Linked DNA regions of Oreochromis niloticus. The protein of the gene in region 2 binds, or shares a complex with, the protein of the main gene of each other region. Links are inferred from orthologs where the notes say so. Each region holds a gene or a part of one and is shown on either strand. Other genes may lie near its edges. The genes, in order: MICOS complex subunit MIC26, chchd3a, apool and micos13.

Region 1 (6,603 bases), on a different chromosome or scaffold from region 2:
CTGGGTACTCCTGTATGGAGTTTGCATGTTCAAAACTCTTCCCACAGCCCAAAGACATTAATGAGGAAAGATTCATTGGTAATTCTAAATTCTCCTAGGTGGGACTGTGACTGTGAATCTTTTTTCAGTCACTATATATTAGCCCTGCTGGTATAGGCTCCAGTCCAGTGAAAAGTTGTATAAAATGGCCTCAAAAGACCTGAATTCAAAGATTAATTAAGCTGTTTACCACATTAAGATGTGTACACCATGGAAGTCAGTAATAACAGCTACATTAAGTTGTTGTATTGCAATATGCACCATGAATGGTAAATGTTATGCAGATAAAAGATTGCTTAAAAATAGATAGTTGCAGGTATCATGTTCAGTGTTCCTCAAAATAAGGGTTTCCCCAACCTTACACACAGTACGCTTGCATAATGGTGAGCAAAGGCTGAATACATCTGTACATGTTGTATGTTTTTTGTTTATTTTTATCAAATTTGCAAAAAATTCAAAGTAATTTTTTTCATGTTGTCATTGTAGGGTATTGGGTGTAGAAATTTCAGGCGAAAAATGAAAATAATCAATTTTGGAGTCAAGTATTTATTAGAAATCCACAATTTAACAGTCATAGAGGCTGTGATGACACAAACAATAGCTTAAACTCACAAAATTCATGAAAAAATTCATGTTTTTGCTGATTATTTCCCAATTCCTTTCTGGTTTTAATCCTTAATGTGTCAGTTTGTATAATGGTAATTGCTGCTAAGTCATCCTTTTTCATTGCATATTGATAAAATCCATAGGACGCTTCATTAGTAGAGTCACCTCCAGTTCCTCCCTCTCACTGAAGAACTGGGCCTTGCTCTCATTTTTGTGGACCGGATCAGGGAGATGGAGCCCCAGTTTGCTGAAAACAGATGGAAAGGCAGGTTACAAAAAACAAGTAGCACTCAGGGGGGGATGATATACTGAAAGACATTAAGAGTTGTGTGATAAAGCAATCAAAGCTCAGATCTTGGCATGCATAAGCCTCTAAGTCTTCAGGGAATTAAAAATGAAAGCTTACATTTTCAAAGGATCTCTTACTATTTTGGCGTCCGTAGATCAAGGAACTTTTCTTTCACATCCAGCACCACATCTGTTGCTTTAGTGTCTGGTAGTTTGATTTTAACCTACACGTGAGGGAAAAGTTAGCATCTTTATTATTCTACACTGTTCACATTAATATGTTGTTAGTTGTTTCCTGCTTTGAATATAACTTCTACTTCTACTTCCACTTTTTAAAGGTTAACACACATTACACGTGAAACATCCCAGTTTGAGACCTGAAACAGCTAGTGTACTATGTTGATTTCAAAGCAGGATAAATGGTTGCATCATGAAGGGCATCCAGCATAAAATGTGTGCCAAATCAAATATGTGGATCTGCTGTGGAGATCCTTCCAGTAGTTGAAAGTACCTAAATAGTTGCTGTAATTATTGTGCCATATCGGTGATTATTCCAGAATCAAGCATCTTACTATGACCAATCTAAAAGAGTGAATGGATGTAATCTCAATATTTATAAGTGTTTTAACACAAAGTATTTTAAATACAGACTCCAATTATTATTTATTGGAAATATTTTTACATATGTTTTAATGCATGCTCAATAATACAGGTGAGGAAATCCCAGAAAGTTGATTCTTTTCATTTGGATTTCAGTAGGAGAAACACTACATCACCCATCCAAGTGACTTTGTTAGTCTCAGCTAAATGCAGGTTTCTCGAACCTTACACACAGTACGCTTGCATAATGACTGAAACTAGCAGCATTGCTTAACAAAGAGCCAGAAGGTCTGTGAATAGTCCTCATGGCCACTGAAGAGTGGTCATGACAATGCGTGTTCTGATCATGAAAGCAATGGTGCTTCCTCTCATTATGCTACTGTATTGTTTATAAGTTTGGGGGAACCTGCTGTCAGCTGAGACTGAAGGAGTAACCCGGGTGAGTGATGAAATGTTTCTCCCACTGAAATCTAGATGAACAAAATCAGCTTTATAAATCTACAAACAAGACTTTTGTTTAGATTTTGTTTAGAAGATTGGAAGTTAAAGACAATGAAAAAAACACCCTGATCTATGATGTCTTCTTTGTAATTTGTTGCTGATCAAAGTATTGTAAGTCAGCAAGTCAGTTCATCTGTATTTTGGAGTGAAAATGATACCAACATACTAAAACACACAATTCCCTTAAATATACATAACATTTCATATTTACACAAAGTAACAGACAAAGACAATCTTAGCAATTTGAGAACATTTTGAAGTATCTGTCAGAGATCAGGTGAACAGTAGAGGAAAGATAAGCACTATTAGAAGCATTTAAATATTTTTTACGTATATAGAGCCTGGTCACTATAGGGTTAACCTGTCTCACCTGTGCTCCTCAACATTTTTAGACTGTTCCTTTCTAAAGTCTAAAACTAACTACGTCTTCAACAGAATTATCTGAAGCCAGCCAACATTTAATAGGAGATTCATGCCTTGCTGCTCTTGATCACAACCTTGTGCATTTCATTTTAGTATCAAAAAAGTGCACTGAGTGAAGTGTTAAGAAATCTTGTGACACTTGGCAAGTTACCAGCATGGCTTCACAACACATGGAGGATGGATCCTTTCTGCTTAATCCCAAGAAGAGATCCTCTGTTCCTACACTTTGCTTCAGGATTATTTCATACCTGCACACAGAGATTATAAATGAAGCAGACACACTAAAACCAAACACAATAAATATCACATTACCAGACATTACCTTGAACAGAAGGAGACTAAACTCAGAAACAGACAGTGTTTGAAGAAGTATGAGGACTCTTTTGAACCTTTAAATATCCACTTTTCATAACGTTTGATGCTTTTTTACATCCACTGTTGGTGTGTGTCTCTTTCTGCATTGCAGTCTTACTCAGGTTGTGGCCTTGGGTCAGTCAGATCATCATACTGTGAGCCTTCGGCCACTTCTTCTTCACACCAGATATCTTTGCTGTTCTTCTTCGTGTATGCGGTTGACACTAATTAAACAGTCACATAAAGAGAGAAAGGCAGATGCAGAAAAAGTATGTATGCTTGAATAAATACTTTTATGGAGTGCTTATAATTGAAAAATAGTACCTTGTTTTTCTTTTTTGGGTGGGGGGCCAATGTGTCCGGGACCCAAGCGTGCATATGCTTTCACATCCTGTTAACATAAACTAATATTAGTGTGGGGGAGACTTGGCTTAATGGTTACTGTAGTTGAAATACAATGATACATATTCTCTCCACTTTATTTTACTCCATATTCCCCCATTGGTCCTCCCTGCCTACACCTGCAGACTAATAAACCTTACACCACTTTTCTAAATACCCTAAAATGTATATTTTATTGAAAAATTATTTTTAAATGTTCATTTTGCTAGTGTTGATTGATTACCCTTGCTATATACATAGGATTAAAATTTTGCTTGTTGAAAAATGTAAAGAGACAACAATTTCCGAGGAAGATACTAAAAGCTAGTGTTAGCAGGGCTTTAACATGGATGCATGTAGATCTTACTTTACACTCCTCATCTTCCTCTTCTTCGTCCTGCTGACTGGACAACAAGGCAGACAGAGCCTGGAGGCTCTGTTCGGAAGATACCCCAAGACAATCCATTCAGAAAAACAAAACAAATAAACAAAAATAAAAATAAAAAGCGCAGCGGACACAAACAAGGAGGAAAAAGCTGCTAAACTATAAGCAACTATAACAAAACAATTATTTTAATTGGTGCTAGTATACTAATTTTAGCAGCTCACGTTTGGATTGTTGACGCTTTCTGTTTCCCTGGAGACGCCAGGCTTTCCTGCTGCCATGGAAACCAGTGACGTCGAACAAATTACGTGGCCAGAGTCACGGTTACGCAGATAGCCGTGAGCTAAGAAGCCTTGCCAGGGAATTTCTAATATAACGATCTCCTCTAGCTCTCTTTTTTTAAAGCAGCTTTGAGAATAATGCATACTGTACTGTATACGAGAAAAACTAGGCACTGAGAAAACAAACAAATAAACAAAAAGAAACAAAGATGGTGGTTTTAAAGACATGTTTTAGGACAGAGTTGTATAAGAATGAACGACTGCTTTATTAATGTAATGTCCCACTGACTATTTGAATTTAACTGAAAGGTAATTCACGTAATGGTTTAAAATAGGTGTCATAATTATGCCTGAATGCGTTAGCAAGATGGCTGCTGGGTGACTTTTATAGGACGCTGTTACAGGCTAAATGCTTGTACTGTAAACAGCTGTTAAAACTGTTTAAAAAGAAACATTGGAGAAAAAAAATAGTGTAAGTGATGCAAATACTAATAATTTAATCCAGTTTAGCCTACCTCAGGTAGCAGACCTTGCCTTAGCTTTGACTTTTACGTGGAATATTTGAGTATCATATTATGAGGGCAGTGGATCAGAACAGCAGATATCCCAGTTAGGCACAGAGGACTTTATTGTAGACTACTAAAATAAAGCAGCCTGCTTAAGTCCTCATTCTAACTTCCTATTTGAAAGTTGTCATTAAAAATATAGTTCGTATAGTGTATTTAGTTTACCCATACCTTCACAATCTACCTTTAACAAGTATGTTATTCCTTTTTTGCAACGTTATTGATAACGAACCCATTCAAACATATCCATGACAGGCAGTCAATTTATGGTGAAACAACGCTTTGTTTTTAAACTGCATATCTTTGGAGTTCCAAATGAAGCATGGTTTGGAGATGTGGGCACAGACATCATTACTATCTGTAAAGAAAGCCTTGTCCTCACAGATATACTTTATTCCTCCTGCCACTGTTGGCGCGCTTTCAAGAGTAGTAAAAGCGTTTGGGTGAGAATCAGAGAGGCGGGGCTATCTGCCTTGTCCCTCCGTGGATACCGTAGTGAATGCATGGCCCGCGGGGATCATGTTGAAGGTGACAGGTAGTGCCATGCCGGGAGCCCTGCGATTTTCACCGTTCACCGTGTTTGCTGCTGCCGGTGACGGCGAGAAGGAACCAGCGGTGGCGGCGGCTTCGTTAAACGTGGACGAACTGTCTCTGTACACCGCTCCCCCGGAGAAGTTTCGGTACGTGGAGCCTAAAGCGGGGCAGCTGGAGGAGCGAGTCGCCACCCTCAGGAAGTTAGCGGAGCCGTACACTGCTTGGTGTCAGGTCACCTATGAGAAAATTAAACCCAAAGTTCAGGGGGTCTTCCAGTTTGGGAACGACGCATACGCCTATGTGAAGAACCCCCCGAAGGACTTCTACCCCCGTGCGGGAGTCATCGGCTTTACCGGAGTCCTTGGCCTGGTTCTTGCCAGAGGCTCCAGGATTAAGAAACTCATCTACCCGACCACTCTCATGACCCTGAGCGCCTCTCTCTACTACCCGGAGAAAGCAGCGGCCATCGCAAAGTCAACCGGAGACTCCGTGTACGACTTGGCCGTGCAGAGCTACGCAGCGGCGGAGAAGATCCTAAACCCCCAGAGCAAAGCTGAGAAGGTCAATAAACCCGAAATGAGCAGCGACTCCGAGACCAAACAGTGATGACCCCGGCGTGACTGCAATAACCGAGCAGTAGCCAATCACACAGCAGCTTTATCCCGATACTGTAAACTGAGCGCTTTCTAGACAGCGTGACTTTTTCATGCCTACACTTTGCACTAAGCTTCACGTGAAACTCAGGCCGGGCAAAGGGAAGGGGGGGATTTGCAACTTGAATGACTTCCTTCCGATTTGAATGTGTATTTATGTAGAGATAAAGCAGTATCTTACATTAAAGTTGTTTTACCGCCTTGATTCTGTGTCCTGTAATGCCACATGCACAAACAAGATGGTCAGCACCAAAGAGAAGAAAACTAATTCAGGATTTTAATAATCAGTCGTTTATTTTAAGTTTTGTTCAATGGGGTGACAAAGACCAAAGTAGGCAAGTCGCATTTGATCTGAAATTGTGTATTAGTTTCAAGTTTTATTTGTCATATACAGGTAACAATTATTATACTCACAGATTTTAAACATATTGTATAAAATAAGTTTTGCTAAAAAGTCATAATCCTACATAAACTCAAAACATTTGTAGTACTAAGTACTCATTAGACCCATTTGCATTATACTGCTCAGTAATGCTCGATATCTCAGCTTTATATTTTAATGCTTTTACAGTAAAAACTTCAAAGTCATTCTAAAGCTTTAAAGTAAATGGTATGGAGTAGAAATGGCTAAAATACTGTTGAGTGGAAGTAGAAAACAGCATGACCCAGAAGTACTTAGAAGCACTAGTTAAAACGACATACACACCCACCATCACATCACCTACTAATTAGTAAAATCTCAGCTTTGAGTTGAACAATTTTGCTATTGCCAGCTTAGGATTTTGAAACTGGATACGCCAAAACAACCAGTGGTTCAGTCTGAAATTAAGTCCATGCTCATTGGTTAGCAACTTGTAAATAAAATGTTATTAGCCAATGAGCATTTCCTGGAAAATCATAATTTCTGACTTCTTGACCAGAACTTAGTAAATTTAATGTTTTATGAAATATAACTAGTGACTGAGCTCACAAATGATCAGGAAAATGTTGAT
Region 2 (7,383 bases):
CGTGAAAGACGGGATAAACTTCTGTAGAGCAAAGGGGAATTGCATGATTATTCTCTGTGGCTTCTTAAAAGTTGATTAGGAGGTCCCTCTTTCAAATAAAGTGTTAATTGATCCATTACTAATATAGAAATATTAATAACAGCCACATGAGTAAAAAGCACGAGTTTAGCCTCATAATCATGCTATTTTACTTCCAAACTGCATGAAGGTAAAGGAGGTATTATGACAGCCTGAGCTTCACAGTGACGAGGCAGAATCATCGCCCACTAATTACAGCATCAATTTATTAGCATTAGTACAAGTTAGAATTAATCATTTCATTAACAGTTAGGGGATGGCAATGAATCACAATATGACCGAGGCTACTGTGGGGCCCATTTTTTTAAATTAAGACTGATTACAATCTGCATGAAAAGTTGGGAGGCAAAAAGCTTAAGGTGGTTTAAAGTAAACACCCACACAATAAACATCATTAAAATTCACTGTATATGGACAGCTGAGTCCCACATAGCCTTGGCTTTGCAGTTAAGCATACAGGTAAAGAGTGTCCGGTACATTTCATAATAAAATGAGTCACTCCCAAAAACGAATTTTTTTTTGTTTTTTTACTACACTTCCATCGGTTATAAGAGGGAAGAGAATGAAGTTTGCAGAGCTGCTTCATAGGTCAAAGATTACAACTGCATAAATCTATAAAAACTGGAACACGTGTCTGATCTTTGGAATAACTAGCTGTTTAAGTTAGTAATCAAACCACATCAGCTTCCTTCTTCCTCAAATTCTTTGGTCACTTTTGACATTGAGAATAATAGCATGCTTTATATATTTATTTTTGTATTACCAGTAGTGATTTTTTTGAAGAAAACTGGAATAAAAACTCACCAACTGATGCAGCAGGAGATGGTGGGACTGGTTTGGACTCGGGCACTGGTTCAACTTTGGGCTGAGGAGGAGGAGGAGGAGGGGCAACTGGTTCACAAGGAGCATTAAATTCAGGCAAGGGAGATGCAACAAATGGCTTGGCAGGCTGTGGTGGCATGAAGTTGACAGACTCGAAAACAGAAGGGGAGGAGAGGGGTTCGGAGTCAGTAAGAGGGGGAGGAGAGGTGATTGGTTCAGCCTTGACAGGAAAAGGGGGTGATAAAGGCTCAGCTACAGATGAAGGAGTAAAGGGTTCAGCCACATGTGGAGGAGCAACAGGTTGAGCAAGTGGAAGGGAGGAAGCAGTGGATTCATTTTTAAGAGGAGATGGTTCACCTACAAGGGGAGGAGGAGGAGCAAGCGGGGCGACTACTTCCACTACAGCTGGAGCAGGGCAGGGGGAAGGAAGCAGGGGATCAACAGGAGCAAAAACAGAAGCAGGAACAGGAGAAGGTGTTGCTACAGGCTCAACAGCAGGAGCAACAACGCCAGCGGCAGCAACAGCAGCAGCTGGGGGAAATGAAGATGGGGGAACTATGTCAGCAATGGTGGGTGCTGTTACCTTTTCTACGGGAGGTGGAGGTGGAGGTGCAGCCACAGACTCTGTGGCAGACTGAGGAGGAGCTGGAGGTGCAACAGGTTCAACAAGAGGAGGAGGGGGAGGAGGAAAGGAGGTGATGGGCTCAAAAAGGGGAGGCACTGGCCGCTGAAGAGGAGAAGCCGGAGCTGCTGGGGGTGATGGAGTGGTAGTAGGTTGTTGAGCTGCAGGTTCCTTCATGCGCTTAATGACATTTTCAGAAAGCTGCAAAGTAGAGTGGAAGAAAAGTTGAACACTTAGATGAAAAATTAAGATGATATCACAATAAAGGCATAAAGCTAGGGCGGGGATAGCTCAGTAGGTAGAGTGGTCGCCCCATGATCGGAAGGTCAGGGGTTTGAATCCACTGAAGGGCTACCCTGAGGTACCCCTGAGCAAGGTACCGTCCTTACACACTGCTCCCCGGGCGCCCAGTGGCTGCCCACTGCTTCACTGGGTGAATGGGTTAAATGCAGAGAGGAATTTCCCCACAGGGATCAATAAAGTATACATTAATACCACACTTTATTTATAGATTTCACTCAAACACAATATAAAGTTAATAGAATATTTAGTGGGAATTTTAGGGATATTTTTTACTTTTGGGGTGGATGGACTGGCATGGGTTTTGCCTTGTTTTCAGTTTTCACGCTCAGCTATTCAGTTTTCAGCTCTGAAGTATAAATGGTATCAATCTTCTGATGCAGCTCTTGGTAAGATAAGAAATAAGTGCATTCCTTAAATGCTTAACTATGTTGTTGCTGCTCCTATAGAAAGCTACACATTGTGTTTATTATTTTTAGATAAGCACCAAAATAGCACTAGTCTCGGCACGTTGGCTTAACAACTGAGTAATAATAGACAGAGCCACAGTCTGATCCGCTCTGCTCTGTATTTATCACCAGCTGATCAGTGGTATTATTATCTACAACACAGCCATACGTTTGCAGCCGACAGGAGAGCACGAGGCAAGTGACGTCAACATTCCGAAAAAGCCATAAAAAGTTTATTCAGACTAAATCTCAAAGCAACTGCAGGGGTTACTAACCACACGTTTGCTTCTTCTATGCTTCATGAATGAATGAAAATAAATGAAAGTTTCCAGGCTGCCAGGAGTCTGCGTCATTTGAGCCACGTAGCGCTTTTGATAGCATAAGACTGCACTTCCACTCCAGAATGCTTTCGGATTACACAGCATTGGATTAAGGCAGCCATGTAACACCTGTTCAACTAAGGTCCATCATATCACTTACCCGTATGCCCTTCACCACCGTTATATTGTCGTTCTCGTCTGATTCAAATGACACGCGGCGGGTGCTGTTGTTTGCTCCCATAGTCAAACGGCAGCTCGTTAACAAATGTCAGTTATCTGTGTCTCATGTAAGAACACAGAAGTGCAATTTGCTTTTATTTTTGGACAGTTTACTTCAAGCCAGGTATAGATGGCTTCACTTTCACCACTGCTTGGGATTCTTAGCGCTTCCTGAACTCGACGTATTTGAAGAACACGCGAGTCGATTGGACAGAAGCGTCATTCGGCCATGCAACAGCGACTTTCATTGGTTATTGATTTCACGTGGTAGCGCGGGATAGTGACGCGCAACATTGCCTGTCATAATTTCCTGTCAGTTGTGTCGCTGTTACAGTATTGTAACTGTAGTAGTGTATATGACACTATAGAGTGTATCTGGGACAACATACTGTGTCAGTAGTTGACAGCACAAAACATTTAGACAACAAGCTAGTACTGCAAATTTTGTAAAGACAGGGCCAGCATATGCAAATAACCATAACAGTACTTTTAACCTATAGAGACAGCTTCTATAGCAAAGAGCAGTGTGTCATTATCTATAAGATGAATCATCATTCATTCTCAAATGTTGAACTACTGAATTATTGTGATTTACTGTGCATGATTACTTTCCACAACCATTAGTTAATACAACAAAACATACCTTTCAACTTTTAATGTTTTTTGAAACTGAGGGTTTGGGGGTTTTTTGGAGCCCTGAGTGTAAATGTGCCTGTCTCTAAGCACTTTGGGTCAGTTTCTGTTGTTTAAATGTGCTGTAGGCTATAAATAAAATAGATGTGACAGTCAACACATAAAATACAGATGTTTTTCATGGTGCATATTTTAAGGGTTTTTTTTTTTTTTTTGCATTTCCAAAAAACACATTTATTTAACACAGTACAATTGGCTACATATTGAACTTAGAGGACAGAAACAATCGTAATCCTATTGCAGTGGTATCGATCCAATACAAGTGCCAGGGTTGGTATTGATATTATCGATAGTTGGATTGATCCGCCCACCTCTTCTACAAGCCCCATTTAAACATACATTCATACAGCCTTTAATTCTATACACTTTAAGTACTTTATTTACCTCTCACTCAAGGCCTAGAATTACAAATTAACCTAACATGTGGATCTTTAACATAATCTGCAGTGTTGTGAAAAAGTGCTTGTGTCCTTCTATTTTTATTTTGCATATTTTTTATTCCTATGTTTCACATCTTAAAAGACATTCGAATATCAGACAAAAATATTTGAGTAAATACAAAATAAAAAATTAACTGTGATATTTTTGTAAAGCTGAGTTCAATTTCACTATCCAGACCCAAGTTGGATCACTACCAGACCTGTTGAATCAAGAAATCAAGCAAAGTAGGCTAAAACATCTCAAAAAGGGACCCACCATGCCACAATCTAAAGAAACTCTAGAACAGATTAGAGAACATTAACTGATATCTATCAGTCTGGAAAGGGTTATTAATCAATCTCTAAGTGAGTGGCTAGTCTACCAAAATTTGTCCAAGAAAGCACTGATGACTCAACAAACAAAACAAAAACAGAGTAACATCTAAAGCAATGCTCACAAGACCTTTGGGAATATATATTTGGAAAACTAACACATAAAAAGTAACATCATGCCAACAGTCAAACATGGTGGTAGTGTGATGGTCTGGGGCTGCTCTGCTGCTTCAGGACCCGGATGACTTGCTGTAACTAATGCAACTGTAATTTCTCCTCTCCACCAGAAGATCTTTATATTATATTATTCATGTCCTGTTTCCTCTCTATGGCATCAGCTGAAGGATTTTTTCCTTCTGAGCTCATATGTATGCTGGTAGTGAGTTTCATTTACCTCTGAAGAGGTTCTCTCAGGGTAAATATCATTGTCTTTCCTCTTGTAAACAATCGTAGTATTTTTATAAATGTAGTTAATTTTCATTTTCCTTATCTGTAAGACTATTTGTTTTCTAAACATCCCTGAATAGACAGGGACAACCTCAAAGTAGGCTAATTAGTTCCCATTAATGTAATAAAAGCAGTCGTGATTTGCTCTTGTAGACTGTCATCCCACAAAAGACTACAACGGGGGCACCAACTCAACTTGCTGGGTTGAGCATACGCCATAAGGCTAACTTTGAAATCCATCCGAAGGTCATTTACTGCTTTTGTTTCCATAGGTTTTCTCACAGTTTTCCTGTTTCCCCTCCACTGTCCTATCAAATAAAGATTAAAAAGAAAAAGACCACAATCATTTCTAATTAGGTATTAAAAAAAATTGTATTCTGGGGGTCATTTCAGACTTTAGAAACAAACAAAAGGTGTGTGTGTTTTTTAACCAGCTAGAATTGTTAAAAATGCTGAAATGTCAAATTTTGGGTTCTACATGAAACTTTAACTGCATAATTAAATCAACAGCTAGGGTTAATAAAAAAGTTTTTTATTATTATTATTCATTCACATGTTGTTTAGTTCCTTTTTGAAAAATACTACATACCATATCCATTTCAACAACTCATACAGCCTTGGAGAACATTACATTACAGCTGGAAATCTGATATGCCTCCAGAAGAGAGGATATTATGAGGAATGACAGCTCATAGGAATCCTGTAAACCTGATATATTATATACACTCAATAACGCAATACAGTCTTTATAAATCTGTTTCCTGACGATTTTGGTGTTTTTGTGTCTTCTGGAATGCATATGCTGCAGATGTACAAACATAAATCAATGAAAATCTGTTTGGAAATTCAACCGTGGCTGTGTATACTCTGATATTACTGTGAAATTTGATATACACAGAGGGTTCATTCAGCCCTTTTACACAAAATAAACCTTGATCAAATACATTATTTCTTAATATAAAACAGTTTATCATAATGACAGACAGTATTACAAAAATCGCAAAATGGAAAGGAAAGAAAATATATATAGCGGTAGGAAGATTTTTTTGAATGAATTACAGCAAAGGGTATCAGTCTCTTCATATTATGAGGAATATCTTGAGACAGAATCACTTCACAACAGACTCTATGAAGTGGTTTTCCAACACTGAAAATAAAGGTTGTTTGGTCAAGATTGGGATATGATTGTTATCTGGAGCTGTGAGGCATTTGGCATAAATCAACCATATTTGGAGTAGATTTGACTTGTTGTACCTACTTTAGTAGCTACTATGGGTTTATAATATATCACATAGCGAAATAATACCTACCTTTTCCATCATCTGTGATTTTACTCGGTATTAGAATGTATTTAGTCTTGTCCTTGCCCATGGAGGCATTTCTCACCACTACAAACACATTATGCAATAAAGACTTACAATGTATAGCAGCACCCTTAAGGCGTGCTGTGGAGTGCCTCAGGTTATGTAGAAAGAAGTGCTTATAGAAATAGATTTAGCTGAATACAACATTTTTTTCCAGTCACAGCATTATTGTAGCAAGCAATACTACTATTTCAATTGACTTTAATACAGAGCAATAATGATCCTTGCTTATATGGTTAATTTATTGTTAATAGCTCAGTCATTCACCATATGCAGCAGAATGAAAATGCAATGTCCAGCGTCCTTTTAGGTGTCTCATATGTTAATACCAGCTAGATGTAAACAGAATCTCTGTAATTACCCACCTTGTTTTTTGCACCATTGCATCGGTTTATGCAATTATGTGAGCTAGTTAACATTTGTTGCTTTAAAATTCGCAGCGGTGCACCAAGATAATGGGCAATGTTGCTGTTATTGACTGAAAAACATGCTGCATCAAAGAGCAAATCTTTCCCTTACAAGATGAGCTCCAAAACTCAAGGGTAATCCCAGCAACATATAAAGGTGAACACAAATAGAAAAGTTTCTTTATTCTTCTAACCTTTATATTATTGCTGCCTTTCCCCCCACAGTATTAATACTTTACCTTGACCTTATGATGTTTGAGTGGAGTTGGGGATCCATCTTTAGGTAATTCAATTTCTCTTTGTTTAATTTCTGCAGAGGTGAGTGGTCTGTTTAGAAAAGACCAGATGATTCGATGATGCGAAGCTCGTGTTTTGTTTGAAGATGAGAAATCTTGAAATTAATCATGAGGTGAAAAATAGATTCAGTGTTTTACTGTCCCACCCTCCTACACCTCCGCATTCCCATGGAAACAGGTAGCTAAAGAAACATCTTCTTCTTAATCACCCAGAGATGACATTTTGTTAGAAAATTCCAAGTTGTGTAATTGAGATGTGAAAATAAGCTTACTCTGTTCAACCAGCCTTCTAATCTTTGCTTGGAATTTTTCTCAGGATAATTAGTACAGCTATTATCATTCATTATCAGTGACTCATCTGGTAATTAGAATCCAAAAATGCCATTTAAATAGATTCCTGAGCCAAGGACATTATTTTTTACTCACAAAAACAGTATGTTTCTGCTAAATAGCTTGTTTAGCTTGCATCATTTGGTGTTGCTTTAAGAATCACATACATTCACTGTGTGTTAAAAATCCAAAATTTGTTTTGGAAATGCTGTGGTATAATTTTTTTAAAGTGCTATCCAAGTCATATTTATTACACATTAGCTGTATTAATGCAGCATTTAGAA
Region 3 (7,952 bases), on a different chromosome or scaffold from region 2:
TTTGTTTTTGTTTTTTGTGCACTTTATGTTCAACTTTATTGTTGTGCCTGAAATGAACAAATTAAAAAAAAAAAAAAAAAAAAAAAAAAAAGCTTACTAGCAAAATCTTGCTGTGTGTGCAGTGTTTGCGTATGCCACATTTGTTATAGTCGTATGCAATGCTTTTACTGGGTCACATGGGGCTGGAGCCTATCCCGGCTGTAATATGGCACAATGGAAAGGTCACCTGTCTATTGCAGGGCACAGAGAGACAACCGTTCACACTTAGACCAACACTCTTTCAAACATTTTCCTTTATTTAATACGAGAAACTGATTAAAACGTTTCTTGCAGGCCTAAACTGTTTGTGAGGTCGAGTTACCTTTCCGTGCCAAGAACATGCCAAGCAGGCCAGCCACGGTGATGGTGCCAAATCTGGGCAGAAAACCAGGGGGAGGGTCCTTCAGGTAATAGTATAAATCTGAGGAGCAGATAACAGAAATCAAGATACTGACAAAAATACATTCAGCTTCCTTAAAAAAATGTACTGAATACATCACAAATTAAATATGTTTCTAAAGGTGCTATTTACATGAAATTCTGACCAGATTGTGTTAAACAACCCATCCAATCCACAAATGCCACGATATCAAACCAAAGATGGCCATAAATTAAGTTATGTGTAATAATGAGAAATGACACAGGGAGAAAGTATTGTACACACAGTATTGAACTTCACTGTTGGTATGGTGTTTTGGGGGTGATATGCAGCACCTATCTAGGGCTGCTTGACTCTCAGACAACTCTTCTGATAATTCTTTTCACTCCTCTGTCTGAAATCTTGCAGGAGGCACCTGGTCATGGTCGGTTTATGGTGACATGATGTTCTTTCCACTTTGGGATTGCTCACTGGAACCTTCACTAGTTTAGAAATTCTTCGGTATGTTTTGCAATGGCCTTGAGAGAGCTCATTGGTTTTACACCTTAGTAATGAGACTCCTCCTTACAGGCCATCAGTTGGTGATGAACCAGCTGATATTAATTTGCACTTTGCACAAGTGGCAGGATTGATTTCATCTAGTGTCATGACTTTCCACAACTTTTTGCACCACCCTTTTCATGCGTTTGATACTTTTTCCCGGTGTCATTTCTCGCTATTACACATAATTAATGGACATCAGTGGTTTGATTTCTTTGCATGTGTGAAATGGATGGGTTGTTACAGATACCTGGTGAGAATGTCACATCAATAGCACCCCTTGAAATATATTTACTTCGTAAATTTGTGACATGTTGAAAACTTTAAATGTCTTATTATTATTGAAATTTTATATTTAGGTGCAATGTAACTAAGACTGTTGTTTGCCTGTTGTTTACTCACCTTCTCCAGCATGGTAAAGATCAATACTTCCCCTTTTCACAGAGATACAGGCACCCTGCAGGGAACAGAAGACTAAACTGAAACCACTACAAAAGTTCATCAAGAACATGCCTGTTTAAGCAACACTGAAACAGATACATGTGAGTCAGTGCTAACTGCTCACCCCCACCCAACAACCCGTGTTTCACAGAATCAAACTGTCAAATCTTCTTGCAGCAAACTTCATGCAGTGTAACTTCACATTGTGAAGTTAAACTGCATGAACACAGTTTCCTGTCTAACTCCTAAACCTGCAAGAATCCTTCCTGCACCGAGCACTTGCAGCATGTGGGATTGTGCTCTGTAAACCACAATGAGCAGCAAAAAGATAGTGGTGTCAACTAAATTCGCAGGTGCAAGATAAGAGTTCTCTGGTGCATTTTAGCTCTCATACGTTTAAATATAAACACATGTTTCCACCATCTGCTTGTGTTAAAAGTGCAGAAGAGGATGTGAAAGCATGAGCTACATCAGTACTTGACGGTGAATGTGAATGAGATTTTTTCCGACATGCAGCTTTACATGTACACAACGGGACAAAAAAAAACAAAAACGTGAATACCTTTACAGTGTGCACAAATGGTAGTACTGTCTGTCTGGCTGTAGTCACTCCACTCTCGATGACCCCCGGACTCTCTGGGACAAACTTACCCTGAGCAGACTGCAACACCGGGGTGTAGATGTTGAGCTGGGGAAAGGGAGGTAGAGAGTTGGTGTGTTATTATGGCTATGAATGGCAATATCCCATATAAATCATGAATACACACCTTTTCTCGAGTAACCAGCCCATCAGCGGGCGCTTCATTCACAGAGTACACACGGAGGGAGGCTATTCCCAGCACAGTCGGGACGGCCACCATTACCACCTGGCGGGGGGGGGGGGATACACTGTAGTGTCAGTCAGCTCAAAGCAACACCACGTCACTATCACAGCTTACTTCGTGGACTTTGAGTGGAAGAATTAATAATAATACCACAATATATTTCAAACCACCGCTTTTCCAGTCTTTCAAATATTTATTTATACTGCATTAATGAACTTCTAAGTATACATCCTGAGTTTATTCCCTTTGTTTTGTGTGTACAAACTGTTTTCAACTAGTTAAGCTAACTGACATTAATGCTAGCGTTACCCTTACCGACTGTGTTTGTGTTGTAGCTTAATGTGGCTCTAGAAAGCTAACAAAGGCAGGACTGACAGCTATTAAGGTTAAACAGCTGTTGCAAACTTTTAAAGACGTAACCTCTGCTAAAACCTTCCTCCGTGTATTCTTTTTAGGAGTCATTCAGCGAAGCTAGCACAGCACACATAGCTAGCAAAGCTTTTTCGTGCAGCGTAACAACGCCTGAGAGGTGACAACCAGAACAAGTAAACATTAGCAGCTACGGGGCACTTGACGCCAACACACAGCCTACACTTTCATTGAAAAGTCATTGTAATAAAAGCTAAAAACTTTGCTGAAGAGAAAATGACATGCATTCACCTTGGCCGCCATGACAGCGCTCTCCCCCTTCTTCTGTTGGTTACAGCTTCAGTCTAGCCCAAAAAACTCCGCGGTCGGCTACTGCCACCTAATGGGCTGAAGTGGGAGTTGCAGCTCGGCTGTGCGATCCTACTCGTCAGTTAAGTCCACATGTTGCTCACCCACTGAGCGTACAGTTGACCTTTGCTTTTGTACATTTGCATACGTGTAATTAAAATAAAAATAAACTCCTACTCGCAGTTTCACATGTAAATGAGTTGTTATTTATGTTGCTGAAACATTGCCAGCATCGACCCTGGGGGGGCCACATGTTCCAGCACCACAGGATTTCTCCACATTTAGTTTAGTTTTAATGAAGTGAATATATATAAGAAAATTTACTGTACTACTTAACTTTGTGCACAAGAGCTTTAAGATGTGTTCAGTCAGAAATCAACCTACACACACAAAGTTCTGCACCAGAATAGCCCAGGTGCACATGTTGCACTGGATTTGATGAAACAGTATCAGTCTAGGAATTAATTTTTGGGTTGCCGGTGAAGCCACTAGATATCTATGCTAAGGTTTGCAACATTGTTTACAAATGGAAATACATCAGGAATAGCTGCTGATTATGTCTTGCATTTCAACAGCATCCTTCTTTTGCTCTCCACCTGGACTATTTACCTGCAGGCAACCAAAGCCTGCTCAAACCTGTTTTATTAGTATTGAGAGTACAAGCAGACTACTAATGGAAGCTTCCAGTATCAAAAAACCTTCTCTATATTCATATGCTGAATCTGTTTAGGCAATTGTGCACATACTCATTCCAATAGTAAGGCCCCAACAAGGCTATAGATCCCCAAGAAATGAATCCAGAATAAAGATTATCTTTAAAAGAGTGCAAATGTGAGTGTGAAGGGCTGTCAGTGTGTCAGCCAAGTGACAGCCTGGAAACAAAGCTTTTGCCCACCACATTATAAATTGACAAAGATATGATGGATAGATGGATGGCACGGGTTGCACAGCATACCATAGGGCTTCCTGCCCTTAACTTGAAACTGTTATTAATTAGAAGACACGGCAAAACTCTTTCAATAAATCAGAGGAAAGGCAAACATTAACCGGCCATAGTGCAGAGGATTCAGTTTATTGAAGTCAAAGTTTAACAACTTAGGTTTACAATCTGTATTTTCTGTAATATATATTCATATATATGAAACCAAAAAAGGCTACTTTAGGAAGAATAAATGTAATTTTCTTTCTTTTTTAATATCATCTTTAGTCATTTTAATGTACAGAATAACAGTAAGCTAATATTATCCTTGAAAAAGAGCAATATGTTCCTTTTTTTTAATGTCGCAGTGCAACTTACATCTTACACACCTGTGCAATGTACCATGAGGTGTACACCCCTGAAAGAACACACAGTGGAATCTCCCTTTTCGGCCTGTTTCTGCAGGTTTACACACACAAAAAGATTCGGGAGGAATAACACAGTCGGTGCCTACAAATGAAAACTCTCAGAACTCCTTTAATCTACAGTATGTCACCTGCTCGGCAGAGCAGCGGTTGGAGAAAGAAGACCAACACTACAGATGACAAACAGAGAGAGGTCTGCAGACTAAAACTGTATTGTAACTCTTCTACAGCTGCGTGTGTGTGTCTGTGTGTGTGTGCGTGCCTGTGTGCGGAAATAGTCAGTCCTTTCGTTGCCAAAGAGAGGATTGGGAGGCACAGGGAAAGTGCTTGCATCATTGAGTTTCTTTGTGTTACTCTCAAATTAATCATTAAAAAACAAACTAGCAAAAAAACAAAAACAAACAAAAAACAGGCAAATAACATGAGCTATATCTCTGGGGCACGTTTGATATTTCACTACAGTGTGACATGATGAAAACTCATGAAGAAGAACAGTAAAATATGAAGACTAAGTACAGACAGTGCTGGATGCAGCAGGTGCTACACGTGTCTCTCGGAGTCCTCGACACTGGGGGGCACCGTTGAGTCCTTGGCCTGATATTGCGGATGAAATGATTCATCCCGGTTTCACAGACATTACAGACCGTTTAGTGCAGAGGTTGTGACTGCCCAGTATCAACCATATGCTTAGAGGGAATGTCAAATTAGCTTTCACTTTGGAAGCAACTGCAGTGATGTCACTTGGAGTAAGGTGTAAGCTTCTTTAGGATGCAGGTCGGTCTTCTATGTAAGCCAAACATCAAATTATAACCTGCTGCTTGGATGCTAAAGGAGGAGGAAAAACCTCCCTTAATTCTCATGGTACAGTACGTGTCTTTAAACACTGCAGAATGAAAAGCAAAGACTTGAAAGCTACGAGCACATAAAAAAAAAGTCATCCTTCGACGGTACTTTTGCATCTATCTTGCGCTACGAGTCTAATTATCTTGCAATTGTGAGAAGGAACAAAAAAAAGGAACACAAATGATCCACAGTATTTTACCCTGTCCATTCAAATCAGTCCCAGGCCTCTGTCTCATGCAACGCACCACCCAGAGAATGGTCAGCCGTGATGTAAACCAGTAAAGACCATCAGCGACGGCTGTCGGTCGCCTCCTATTTGCTCAACTGCTAAACACCCTGCATCTACAGAGTGAAGAGGGGGACACTGCAGAACCTTGGCATAGAATACATCATACTTTACATTATATCTATGACACAAAACGTAAATAGATTTTATATAGTCTTCTATGTTTAAATATATTTGTAGACTGTACACAAATCTTTAGAAAATGAGACGGCAAATGCTTTTACCTGATATTTGAACAGCAATGGTAATGAGGCCGATGACACGTAGACCCTGTGATGCAGCCGATGAGATATAGAGATATAGAAAGTGCATTCGTTGTAGTGAGTGACTGAAAAAGAACTCTCTAAGCTCTTGCATTCACGGTTTAAGGAAAAAAAACTATGAAAGAAACCAAAAAAAGTAATAATAATAAACTTGTTTTGCACCCGCACAAATACATACTCTCTGTCTTCCCTCCGCTACCTCTAGAAGCCTATCACAGTGGTAGTGGAACGCAAACATTTACATCAGTATACACAGCAGTATACACATATACACAAGTCTTTGAGGACTAGAGAAAGAAGTCGCTAAGAAAAGAGAAGGTGATGGAGAGAAACGAGAGGAAGAGAAGATGCCAACAGAACTGCACTCGTTCAGAGGAGCCTCCTTCAGCACATGAATCCGGCCAGCGCAAAGGGGTTCTCGCTGATAAACCGACATTGCTGGCTACCTCTCACAGTCTCACACTTTACTTTCCCCGCACTGTCCCGTGAGATCAGCCTGAAATAACAGTGAGGTCCCTGTAACTCAAAAAGATACGCAAGAGGAAAAAAAAACAGAGAGAGAAAGGGGGAGAACTGGTGGCTCTGGGTGCAAAGTTCATCAGTACAAAAGTACAGTGCTGTGGTGAAAAGGGTTTTCCTCTGTATTGCTGCTACATAGCTCCCCCTTACCCCTAAAATAAAGCAGAAAAAAAGCAAAAGCAAAACCAAGATAATACAAAAGAAAAAAATTGTGTTAAAAAGTCTGTTTTTTTCCCCCCGTTTTGCTTGACAAGCGTGTGGCGTTTATGCTGAGATCCATAGACAAAGGAAGATTAATGCTTTCTGTTCAGGCATGCAATAGGCACCCTGTGGGGTCCTCGGGATTATCAAAAGTTCATACACGCAGGTCTCAGGACTGTTCCCTCTATGATATTTACACATCTTACAATGTGTGTGTGTGTGTGTGTGTGTGTGTGTGTGTGTGCATGCTCAGAGTCGTAACCAGGACAGAGGGTTAGCTAATGTAAAGCTCCGTGTTACTGCGCGCGTGTGTGTGTTTGCGTGTGCGTGTCAGTTCAGCCTTCGCTTCTCGTCTCTTTCTCACACGTGGGTCTCGATGAAGGAGTGTGTGTGGGTCATGAGAGGCGCGGCCAGCGGGGAGAGGTCATCCTGGCCGTTGGTGCCGGGGCTGAGCTGGCAGATGTCTGAGAAGAGTTCGCCGTGCCACTGCTTCCATTCTCTGAAGGTCTGGGAGCACAGGCCAGGGTCCTCCAGGAGGGAACAGATCACTGCTAGCTCCGACTCTTTGGCCTGTAGGAGAAGAGCGTTACCACATTAAAACCTCACGTTTGTTTTTGTGTGTAAAAAAACCAACGACCTGGTAACACTTATAATAGACCCTGCGATAAAGGATGTAGTTCCCCTGTAATTAAATGGAAATTCAATGTATTTCATTTGAAACTACAATGTAATTGCTGTATGTTTATCTATAAATACGTTGACTAGAATAAGGGGGTAACATGTCAGTCAAGAAAATTACTTACACTGTAAGTAATTTTAACTATTGTGTAAATATGTACTTCTATGTTAATTTTACAGAAAAACATTATTTCCCCATCTTGCATCTTACTTTTCGGAGTGTGGGCCGTATTATGAAGGGGGGAAATCTTGCTTTTTTACATCTTTATTTTTCAATTCAATTCAATTCAGTTTTATTTATACAGCGCCAAATCACAACAACAGCACTTTATATTGTAAGGTAGACCCTACAATAATAGAGAGAAACCCCAACAATCATATGACCACCTATGAGCAAGCACTTTGGCGACAGTGGGAAGGAAAAACTCCCTTTTAACACTAAGTCTAAGGAGCTTAGAAAGAAAAGCGTCTGGACTTCTTTAAGTTGCTTGAAGACGTTTCAACTCTCATCCGAGAAGCTCCTTCAGTTCTAAGGTCAAATAGTGGACAAAGAACCCCCTGATGATCCTCTACCTCATCACACGAGCCAAGATGTGAAAACGGGTGTAGGTCACAAGCAGCCAAGGTTTTGGGTGAGCTCATTGTGAAACCTAGCCCCACCCTATCATGTGATTTCCTGAGGTCAGAAGGCCCAGGATGCGAGTGGGCGTTAAGGCGTCTGGGAAGGGATCTCAGAACTGGATTATAGATGGCAGACAGTTGGTGTCATAAACCACCGCCTCAGTTCAAGGATGGTCGTTCACAGTGGACATAAATGGCTTCTTTCACTCCTCTTTCAAACCATCTGTCTTCTCTGTCCAAAATGTGAACATTGGCAT
Region 4 (7,753 bases), on a different chromosome or scaffold from region 2:
GTAATGTTTTCTTACATTTAAATAAAAGAAAAGGATGACACTAAACATCACCGCTCGCGGTGCTGTGGAGTGTGTCTGCATCGTGTACAGTGGAGTCAACCGATCATAAATGGCTGCGTGTGCTCTTCCTCACGCTTTCAGTCATCTCCCCCTCTTTTCAAGTTGTAGCAGAATCAGCAGTAAACTGTGTCATTATTATTGTCATGATTAATAAAGATTTTTGCACATTTGTATGGTCTTTTTGTCGACCGAGCACTTTATGTTATATGACTTGATAGATCAAACTAAAGATGAGACAAAATCTTTTAAGATTGATATATTGCTCACAAATAGTGAAATTGCATATATATATATATATATATATACACACACATACAGATATTCTTAACATTTTTTGGGCAAGGTGAGGGCAGAATAACACTCTCTACTGGACAGTGCTGATAGCAACTATTTGGTATACACAATTTTGAGGTATACACAAAATGAAAGATTGCCTTCTTAAAAATAAAATTTTCTTCCCATTATGTACATCTCCCACCAAAGGCCACTATCAGTTAGAAAACCACAGTACCCATTCAGCAGAGTACACTCCTTGCTTTTAATCTTTTAATCAAGCAGTTTTCTTTGACGTTGTGTGTTGCTTCATTCTTATGGCAGGGTTCAACATTTGAAGAAGTAATGTCAAGTGCAAAAGTCAAAAGGACTGATAATGTGAGGCTGCCCAGAGAGTTCATGTTCACTTTGTGAGGTCCTTCAAGTACTGCAGCCCCTGACTTGTGTATTCAGTGGCTTTTGTCGGGGCCTCAGAGAGATTTGAAATCGTCCACCGTACGCCTGCAACAAAAGAAAAAAGAGAAGTTTGGGTTTTAGATACTGAAAAATCAGGGTCAATATAGGGTCTAGACCAAAAGTAATACCAATACCAAAATTATTTTAAAACAAACTACTGCCTCCAAACAATTTTAAAACTATTACTGCATGTAACAAGTGAAATACACAACAGAAAGTCTGTGCAAAACTTGTGACCACAGTAAATTTTTACCCTTGCTTTTTTAAAAAAGGAACAAATAATTGAATTCTTACCAGAATTCCACGCGTCCACAGGAGAGAACTCAATCTTAGGTATGGTTGGAAGCTGAGCCTGACAAGAGGGATAAGGTGCATTAGTTTGCATTAGTGTTTATTATAACTGGACAATACAACTACTATTCTGTCCAGTGCAAAACAGTAATAAAAAAATAAATGCATAAATAAACAAATCAGGTTTTAAAATAAAATCATGAGGAGGAGACACATTTGTACATTGTTTCAAGTGAAAACTTGCTTGTTGGAGTTCGTGAATAAAATCATAAGTAAGAAATGGATAAATACTCTTGCTTCTTTTCTTTGTTTTGTTTGTTTGTTTTTTTTAATCACTTGAACTGATTTGTCAGCAAGAACTAGGACCTGTACTATGAAGCAATTTCAGCATTTCCTGGATATCTTTCCATTATCTGACTTCAATTAAAATAACACTGAGAACCATGATGAGCAGAATTACAAAGGTGTTTATCGACTAAGCCAAGCCAGAGTTAAAAAAATCTAGCTGTGAGTGTATTCAGCAAGATGTTGGCAGCAGTCGACCAGTCAGAAACATGGGTGGATCTTACAAAGCTACAACTATGATATCTGAAAAATTTGAAAAGATTAAATAATACAGGCATATAGCAACAGCAGTGTTGAAGCTAAAGGAGTGGTGTGAGTGTGTGTGGGAAGAAACGGACAGTCCAGTAGTATTAAAAGTGCTGTATGAGCATGAGCACTTTAAGCACTTTGGTCAGTAATGCTGGAAAAGATATTTACTTTAATAAAGTCTTAGTCTTAAATCTGGTGAGTCTCAGTTACCAGACTTAAGACACAGGAGAATCTGAAGAATTGTTAGAATTGCTATTGACTATATTTTCAACCTGATGAGCTCTAACCCAGACCACAACCTGCTCCAGAGCTAGTTAGGTCTGCAGCATACATTACCACGAATCAAAGTACATGCCTCACAAAGGTTTATGATGTCATGATTGTACTGTAACTATGTATTCATTAGAGCGTTTCTGATCTCATAAGAGAAAGGCTAGAAAGCAAAAAGAAATTTCTACACATTTATGGTATGAGTCATCAAATTTGCTGTCTGCAGCACTGATCTATTTAATGCAATGACTTTTTAAAACCATTTTACTTTATGTTGTATTAGGCCTAGTGGCACTGATCCAGGAAGACCTAGTTGTTTATGACGTGCATCTTGTACCTCCACACCAAAGTACTTCATCCATTCCTCCATGGCGGGTGGGATTACTGCTTTGGCCTTCTGCAGAGCCTCTGAGCCCTGTTCACTGTTCCCCAAGAGACCAGAGTCATAGGCAACATAGACAGCTCCTCCTGCAATGGTCACCTTGGTGGCCAGTCTGGAAATGAAAGAACAGATGCAGTAATGCAGTTAATCTGAAATACCCCAATTTCCCAACAGGGCAAACTGAAACTACAGACACACGTAGTTATTATCAAAGTAAACAACAAATTATTCTTTGATGCTAAGTTATCAGTTAATAGTTGGGAAATTTACAACTGCCCACATTAACTCACGTTATTGCAGAAAGTTAGTATATCAGCCCAACGTTAAACTCCATAAAGAAAAGCATATTTTAAGTCTTAATATTGGAGCTAAAACGAAAACAACTGAAAATGACCTGGTATGACTGACAGCTAGCTTAGCCTAAGTTAGCTTAATTATCAATAAGAGCATTTAGACAAGTGATAGTATACGAAACCGCGGGAGTTGAAATAAAAATACTAACTTCATAACAGGCCAAATCCTCGTCGCCATCGTTCAGCGCGGTCTATTCTCCTTTAAGAAGCTGTTATTGCGAGAACTCCGACAATGAGCCGTAGATCAGGCTAGCTGGTTAGCTTCACTGAAGGACAACCCTGCTTGATGATCCGTGTGCACCAGTGTTGTGTAAATAAAGTTGCTGTTTCAAAAGTCAGGGCGGATGTAATTTCGGAGGCGCAGATTCGTCAGCCTTGATTTTTTAAACTATAAATTTATAGGCAAATAAATTAAAGATTTTGGGGCTTTGGTAAATTAAAAAAATATATAGATTTTTTAAAAGCATTAAAGTAACAAAAAAAATGATTTGTGTCCATGAAAAAGGGCAGGCCAGTCTGACCAACCCCCGCCCCTTACAAAGTGGAAGGAGGGGAGAAATAGTGGGTTGCATAAAATGCACTTTGTTTTCTCAAACTGGGATTGTGAAAGTTGGCAGAAACTTCTAAAGCTTAGCATTTTCGCTCAGCTGCTACCAAATTGTCATAATGGGCGCTGTCACAAAAGTTCTTTTAGCTAGTATATGTGTTGCTTTCCTGGCTGCCAAATGGACTTCACCCAGATTTGATGCCGGTAAACTCTGTTCTTTGTCATTGTGAGAAAGTACTTGCTTGTTTTTAGTTGCAAACTTGCAGCAGGCATGCAGGTTTGTCCAGCAGACAATAATGTGATAGGTGTTGGGCCTACAGTGGTCCAAACATATGCGTGGTATGCATTTGCAATGTATTAGGTAAATACAGCTAAATAGAGTCACACTTTTTTACTTAACTTAAAAATGAAGGTTTCACATGAAAAAGGGAAGACTCATGTGCAGGAATCCTAGCTAGCCTACTCGGTTATGTCGTAGTTATAACTTAGTATCTGGTAACACCTCATTATTATAGTCATATAGTCATTGTTTGTTATACATATGAAGTCTGTTTTTAATAGACATCTATCACATGTGCAGTCAACCCCGAAACTGATGTTTTTTAATATTTGATTTAATTTTTGAAGCTCAAAAGCACCCGGGCCAGTAACTTATATGAGGCTTTATGGCCAGGCGTAGCCAGATTAAGGAGATAAAAGGTCTGAAGTTGAGTCCAAGAAATCAATTTGCATGTTCAATATGGGTTTCGAAGAATTAATGATGGAATCAAAGGCTGAAAAAGCAAAAACATGAGCTATAAACCCAGAAACCACAGGAATGTTTAAATTACCAGTTACATTCTTGAAAAAAACAATGTACAGAAGGCCCGGAAAACAACAAAAACAACAGCAGATATCAGAATTCTGAGTAAAAATGCCAGGTCAGACTTTGCTATTAAAAAAAGGATACATAAAATCTGAAAAAATTAAGCCAACAATTTATATTAGAAAAAAAAAGGTTTGTGATCTAATACATGCCACATTGTTAACAAATAAAAGGCAGTTTTATGGTGTGGGTGGGTATTACTGCCAACTTGGAAAGGTAATAGTAACAATTTAATGATTTGTTAAAGAAAATTAGTAGAAACAGCACAAAGTGAGCGAGTAATTGATGATATTCTGCTCTCCGCTTGTGACCAAGGCCTTACCAAAGAGAGAATCCTGCATTTATTCACATTTTGAGAACACACTGTAGAGTCAATTTTCCACAAGCAATGAAATTATGCGGTCCATGTCAGTGGACTAGTGTTATGTATACTTGCATATCCCATGTGCTCTACTCTGCAACACTGTAACCTTATGAAATACCACATTTTTTAAATGCCTATATTTCACAAATGTACGACAGCGCAGGACGATTTGTTTCAGATGCCTTGTGTTTGCTTTGGTTAGTAATAAAATGCAGTTTGAATGGCTGCTTCATGAACCCTAACCCTTCATGGGAATAAGAAGTGGAATAAGAGAGAGAGGGAGAGCATGCAGTTGATTGCACATTTAGCTAAACCTTTGAGAGGAAAAGGGTACTGACATATGGCTCCATTCTCCAGCATGGGGAGTGAAAATTTTTAAACCTGCAGGATATTTAAATGTTCATAGCACCAGGCAAAGAATTAAAGCAACAAACGAGTGATATGGGACCTTCAAAAACAAAATACAGCATGGAAATTCTGGTGAAATAAATAAATAAACACAATATCCAAGCATTTTACTAGTCCAAATGAAGAGTATGCATTTTGCAATTTCTCAAGATGGAAAAGTTTCAAATGCCCTTTGACCTGAAGCAATATATGGAGGATAAAGCTGGGCGATAGAACGATAACGATATGTATTGCGAAATAACTTTTTCTCGATAGAAAAAATAAACTATTGCGATAGGCCTCATCTCTCTTGTCCTCTTAAAAAAAAAAAAAAGAACAGCCAATCCAAATTAAGTAGCGCAGAGCCGAACCAATCACAGCTGCAGCGTCACGTCACGTGACTTGATACGTACAGCACAAGTGCCAAGGCTCACATGTATATTTGTTTTTGCAGCCGGGCTGCCCAGGTAATGAAGGAAATGAGTTTGCTGACTAGAGAAAAATCAACCGAGAGCGTGAGCGAAGGTTACCGAAGAAAAAACAGATGATGGTTCCAATACCGGAGAGATTGTCGAACGGAAGGGCCACAGAAGTTCCGTAGTGTGAAGGTATTTCGGCTATTTCAAGTCTGACAAAAAACAGAGTAGCACGCACTGTAAATTGTGCCGAAAGCAAGTCTGGAAATACAATAAAGCGGTGCATGCTCAATCTCTGACTGAAAGCGCTAATTCGTCATTCGGCTTTTGTCAGACTAAAGTAACTGTTAAAACTGTTTGAAAAGCTAAGCTATACAACAAGGAGAGATTGAGAATTTCCTTTTAGTTCTCAGTTTATTTGATATTGACAAAAGTTAGTAAATTTTGTCTGTTCGTCTGTAAAACAAACTAAGATTTATTTTTAGAATTAATATTTTGTTTCTAAGTGGAACTGACAATTTAGTAGTCTGTTTTGTTTGTTCTATTTTGAAACTTAAACGCTTTAGCGGCTGCCTTTTGTGTAGTTTGTAATATTTGCCTTTATTTATCTGAAACTGAAGTCTCATGTTCCTTAAGTACATCTACCCTGTTGAACTTATTATGGGAAATAAATATTTAAATCAAAACAAGCTGGTGATTATTTCACATTTTACTTGTGAGCAACGGCACATTTAAATCTTACAAATATAGTTATTTGGCTTATATTGTGATATATATCGTTATCGCCTGAAATGAAAAAACATATCGTGATATGAAAAAATCTTATATCGCCCAGCTCTAATGGAGGACTAAGATTAGCTTATCTTTTTAGGGTATATATCTGCCTAAAGAATGATTCTAGATAAACTAAACTATTTCATTGTCATCAAGTTCACTTAAAAACCTTTTCTGCATGCTTAGACACATTAACAATGTATGCAGTAGTTACTGTGGTCATTTACTCTATTTATTGTTGACTAATAGAAATAACACATATTTTTATTGTTTCTATAAACCTTTCATGTATTAAAACAATTCCATTCCATGTTGAATACGGTAAAACTTTGTTTCAGATTCTCTCAAAGGGGCTAGGGTACTGGTGACTGGGGCCAGTACAGGTATTGGTGAACAAATGGCGTATCATTACGCCCGCTTTGGAGCCCAAATTGTTATCACAGCAAGGAGGGAGAAAGTCTTACAGCAGGTCAGTTTACGTAATAACAGGTTATTGGTTGAAATTCTGCTCATAGATTGCCATTTACTTCTGTTGTTTTGTGCCAGTCATGAATAGAGACATTCTTTAGTTCTTTCATAAAACTAACCAAGTGCATTTTTAATGATTTTGGCCTGTAGGTAGTAGAAAAGTGTCTGAGCTTAGGAGCCCAGAAAGCTTTTTATATAGCAGCAGACATGGCGAATGAGTCTGACCCTGACAAAGTGGTGGATTATGCTCTGGAGAAGCTGGGAGGTTTGGATTACCTGGTCCTCAATCACATTGGGCCTAGCCCCTTCAGCATGTGGAAGGGAGATGTGGATCACACCAAATGGCTGATGAAGGTAACAGAGCATTTTGATGGTCATTCAAAACAGGAAATGGAGAGACTATGCTGATTCATGAATGTTTGTTTGTGAAGGTCAATTTCTTCAGCTATATTCAGATGGCCTGGAAAGCTTTGCCCTCCCTTGAGCAAAATAAAGGATCACTGGTTGTTGTCTCATCGCTCTTAGGTAGGTTTGTTTTTATACTTCTTCAGCATTTTTATACTTTATGCTTTTTTATGCAGATGATGACAAACTATAAAATACAAATTGTATGTGTGCACATATATACCTCCTAATACTTTCACCCACCAATTACAATTAAATTGACATTTTTTTAAAGACACTTTCTACTGCAACTGATAAATAAGTGATGGTAATACAGTAATTAAGATTAACTTAATGTATTATGATGACAAGAGTTGATAACCCACTCTGGAGCTTGTTTGTGTGCACCAGGTGGCTGGGCCATAAGTTCTTGTGAGCTCAACTAAAACAAGCCCAAAATGGTCTTGTACCATGGGTCAACTACCTGCAGGAGAATCTGTAGAGGGAAAGTGTTTTCTGGATTGGGCGCCAGTCAAAGTCAGAAGTACTGATTGTCCAGTTGTTGGCTTTTTTTGGTGTAAGGGACGTGGACCCTGATGAAGGCCACAAGCCAAAACGCATTGGTCAATTATTAAAGCTGTTCTTCGTTTCTCAAGTGTTGCTGGAGTTCCTGCTTTTTTAATTCTTTCATCTTCTCCATGCACCTTGGAAGCAGGTGAAGTTGTGCCAGGATTTTTTGCTGTAAGGGACGTGGGGACATCTTTATTGGGGAAGGAGCCTAAGTTTTGGTAGGAAGTTGAAGAATACCCACCAGAGCATGAAAGTGACCACAAAGCTGACCGCAGAAGCAAAGCTGTCGATTTCCTGAT

Evidence for each region.
Region 1: chchd3a (region 2) and MICOS complex subunit MIC26 share a complex: the UniProt entries of both Homo sapiens proteins name them as parts of the mitochondrial contact site and cristae organizing system (MICOS) complex. The link is inferred for Oreochromis niloticus from reciprocal best matches to the Homo sapiens genes CHCHD3 and APOO.
Region 3: chchd3a (region 2) and apool share a complex: the UniProt entries of both Homo sapiens proteins name them as parts of the mitochondrial contact site and cristae organizing system (MICOS) complex. The link is inferred for Oreochromis niloticus from reciprocal best matches to the Homo sapiens genes CHCHD3 and APOOL.
Region 4: chchd3a (region 2) and micos13 share a complex: the UniProt entries of both Homo sapiens proteins name them as parts of the mitochondrial contact site and cristae organizing system (MICOS) complex. The link is inferred for Oreochromis niloticus from reciprocal best matches to the Homo sapiens genes CHCHD3 and MICOS13.

Annotation. Positions count from the first base shown.
Region 1 is NC_031982.2:27,116,941-27,123,543, forward strand, and holds MICOS complex subunit MIC26, read left to right. Parts: upstream 1-4,856; 5' UTR 4,857-4,943; coding exon 4,944-5,564; 3' UTR 5,565-6,092; downstream 6,093-6,603. Other genes in the region: dnaaf6 (dynein axonemal assembly factor 6), read right to left, coding at 763-892, 1,072-1,157, 2,609-2,705, 2,930-3,035, 3,136-3,202, 3,560-3,628, 3,802-4,086. UniProt on the Homo sapiens protein: Component of the MICOS complex, a large protein complex of the mitochondrial inner membrane that plays crucial roles in the maintenance of crista junctions, inner membrane architecture, and formation of contact sites to the outer membrane.
Region 2 is NC_031981.2:11,470,559-11,477,941, forward strand, and holds the start of chchd3a (coiled-coil-helix-coiled-coil-helix domain containing 3a), read right to left. Parts: upstream 3,008-7,383; 5' UTR 2,833-3,007; coding exon 2,752-2,832; intron 2,689-2,751; exon of another isoform or gene 2,625-2,688; coding exon of another isoform or gene 2,547-2,624; intron 1,724-2,546; coding exon 1,484-1,723; intron 944-1,483; coding exon 883-943; intron 1-882. UniProt on the Homo sapiens protein: Component of the MICOS complex, a large protein complex of the mitochondrial inner membrane that plays crucial roles in the maintenance of crista junctions, inner membrane architecture, and formation of contact sites to the outer membrane.
Region 3 is NC_031966.2:31,495,269-31,503,220, forward strand, and holds the start of apool (MICOS complex subunit MIC27), read right to left. Parts: upstream 3,004-7,952; 5' UTR 2,896-3,003; coding exon 2,884-2,895; intron 2,266-2,883; coding exon 2,167-2,265; intron 2,088-2,166; coding exon 1,962-2,087; intron 1,416-1,961; coding exon 1,361-1,415; intron 461-1,360; coding exon 362-460; exon of another isoform or gene 334-361; intron 1-333. Other genes in the region: si:ch211-26b3.4 (connector enhancer of kinase suppressor of ras 2), read right to left, coding at 6,757-6,966. UniProt on the Homo sapiens protein: Component of the MICOS complex, a large protein complex of the mitochondrial inner membrane that plays crucial roles in the maintenance of crista junctions, inner membrane architecture, and formation of contact sites to the outer membrane.
Region 4 is NC_031986.2:33,823,078-33,830,830, forward strand, and holds the start of micos13 (MICOS complex subunit MIC13), read right to left. Parts: upstream 3,003-7,753; 5' UTR 2,858-3,002; coding exon 2,829-2,857; intron 2,439-2,828; coding exon 2,282-2,438; intron 1,142-2,281; coding exon 1,084-1,141; intron 835-1,083; coding exon 737-834; 3' UTR 1-736. Other genes in the region: hydroxysteroid 11-beta-dehydrogenase 1-like protein, read left to right, coding at 3,346-3,430, 6,371-6,501, 6,651-6,854, 6,932-7,025. UniProt on the Homo sapiens protein: Component of the MICOS complex, a large protein complex of the mitochondrial inner membrane that plays crucial roles in the maintenance of crista junctions, inner membrane architecture, and formation of contact sites to the outer membrane.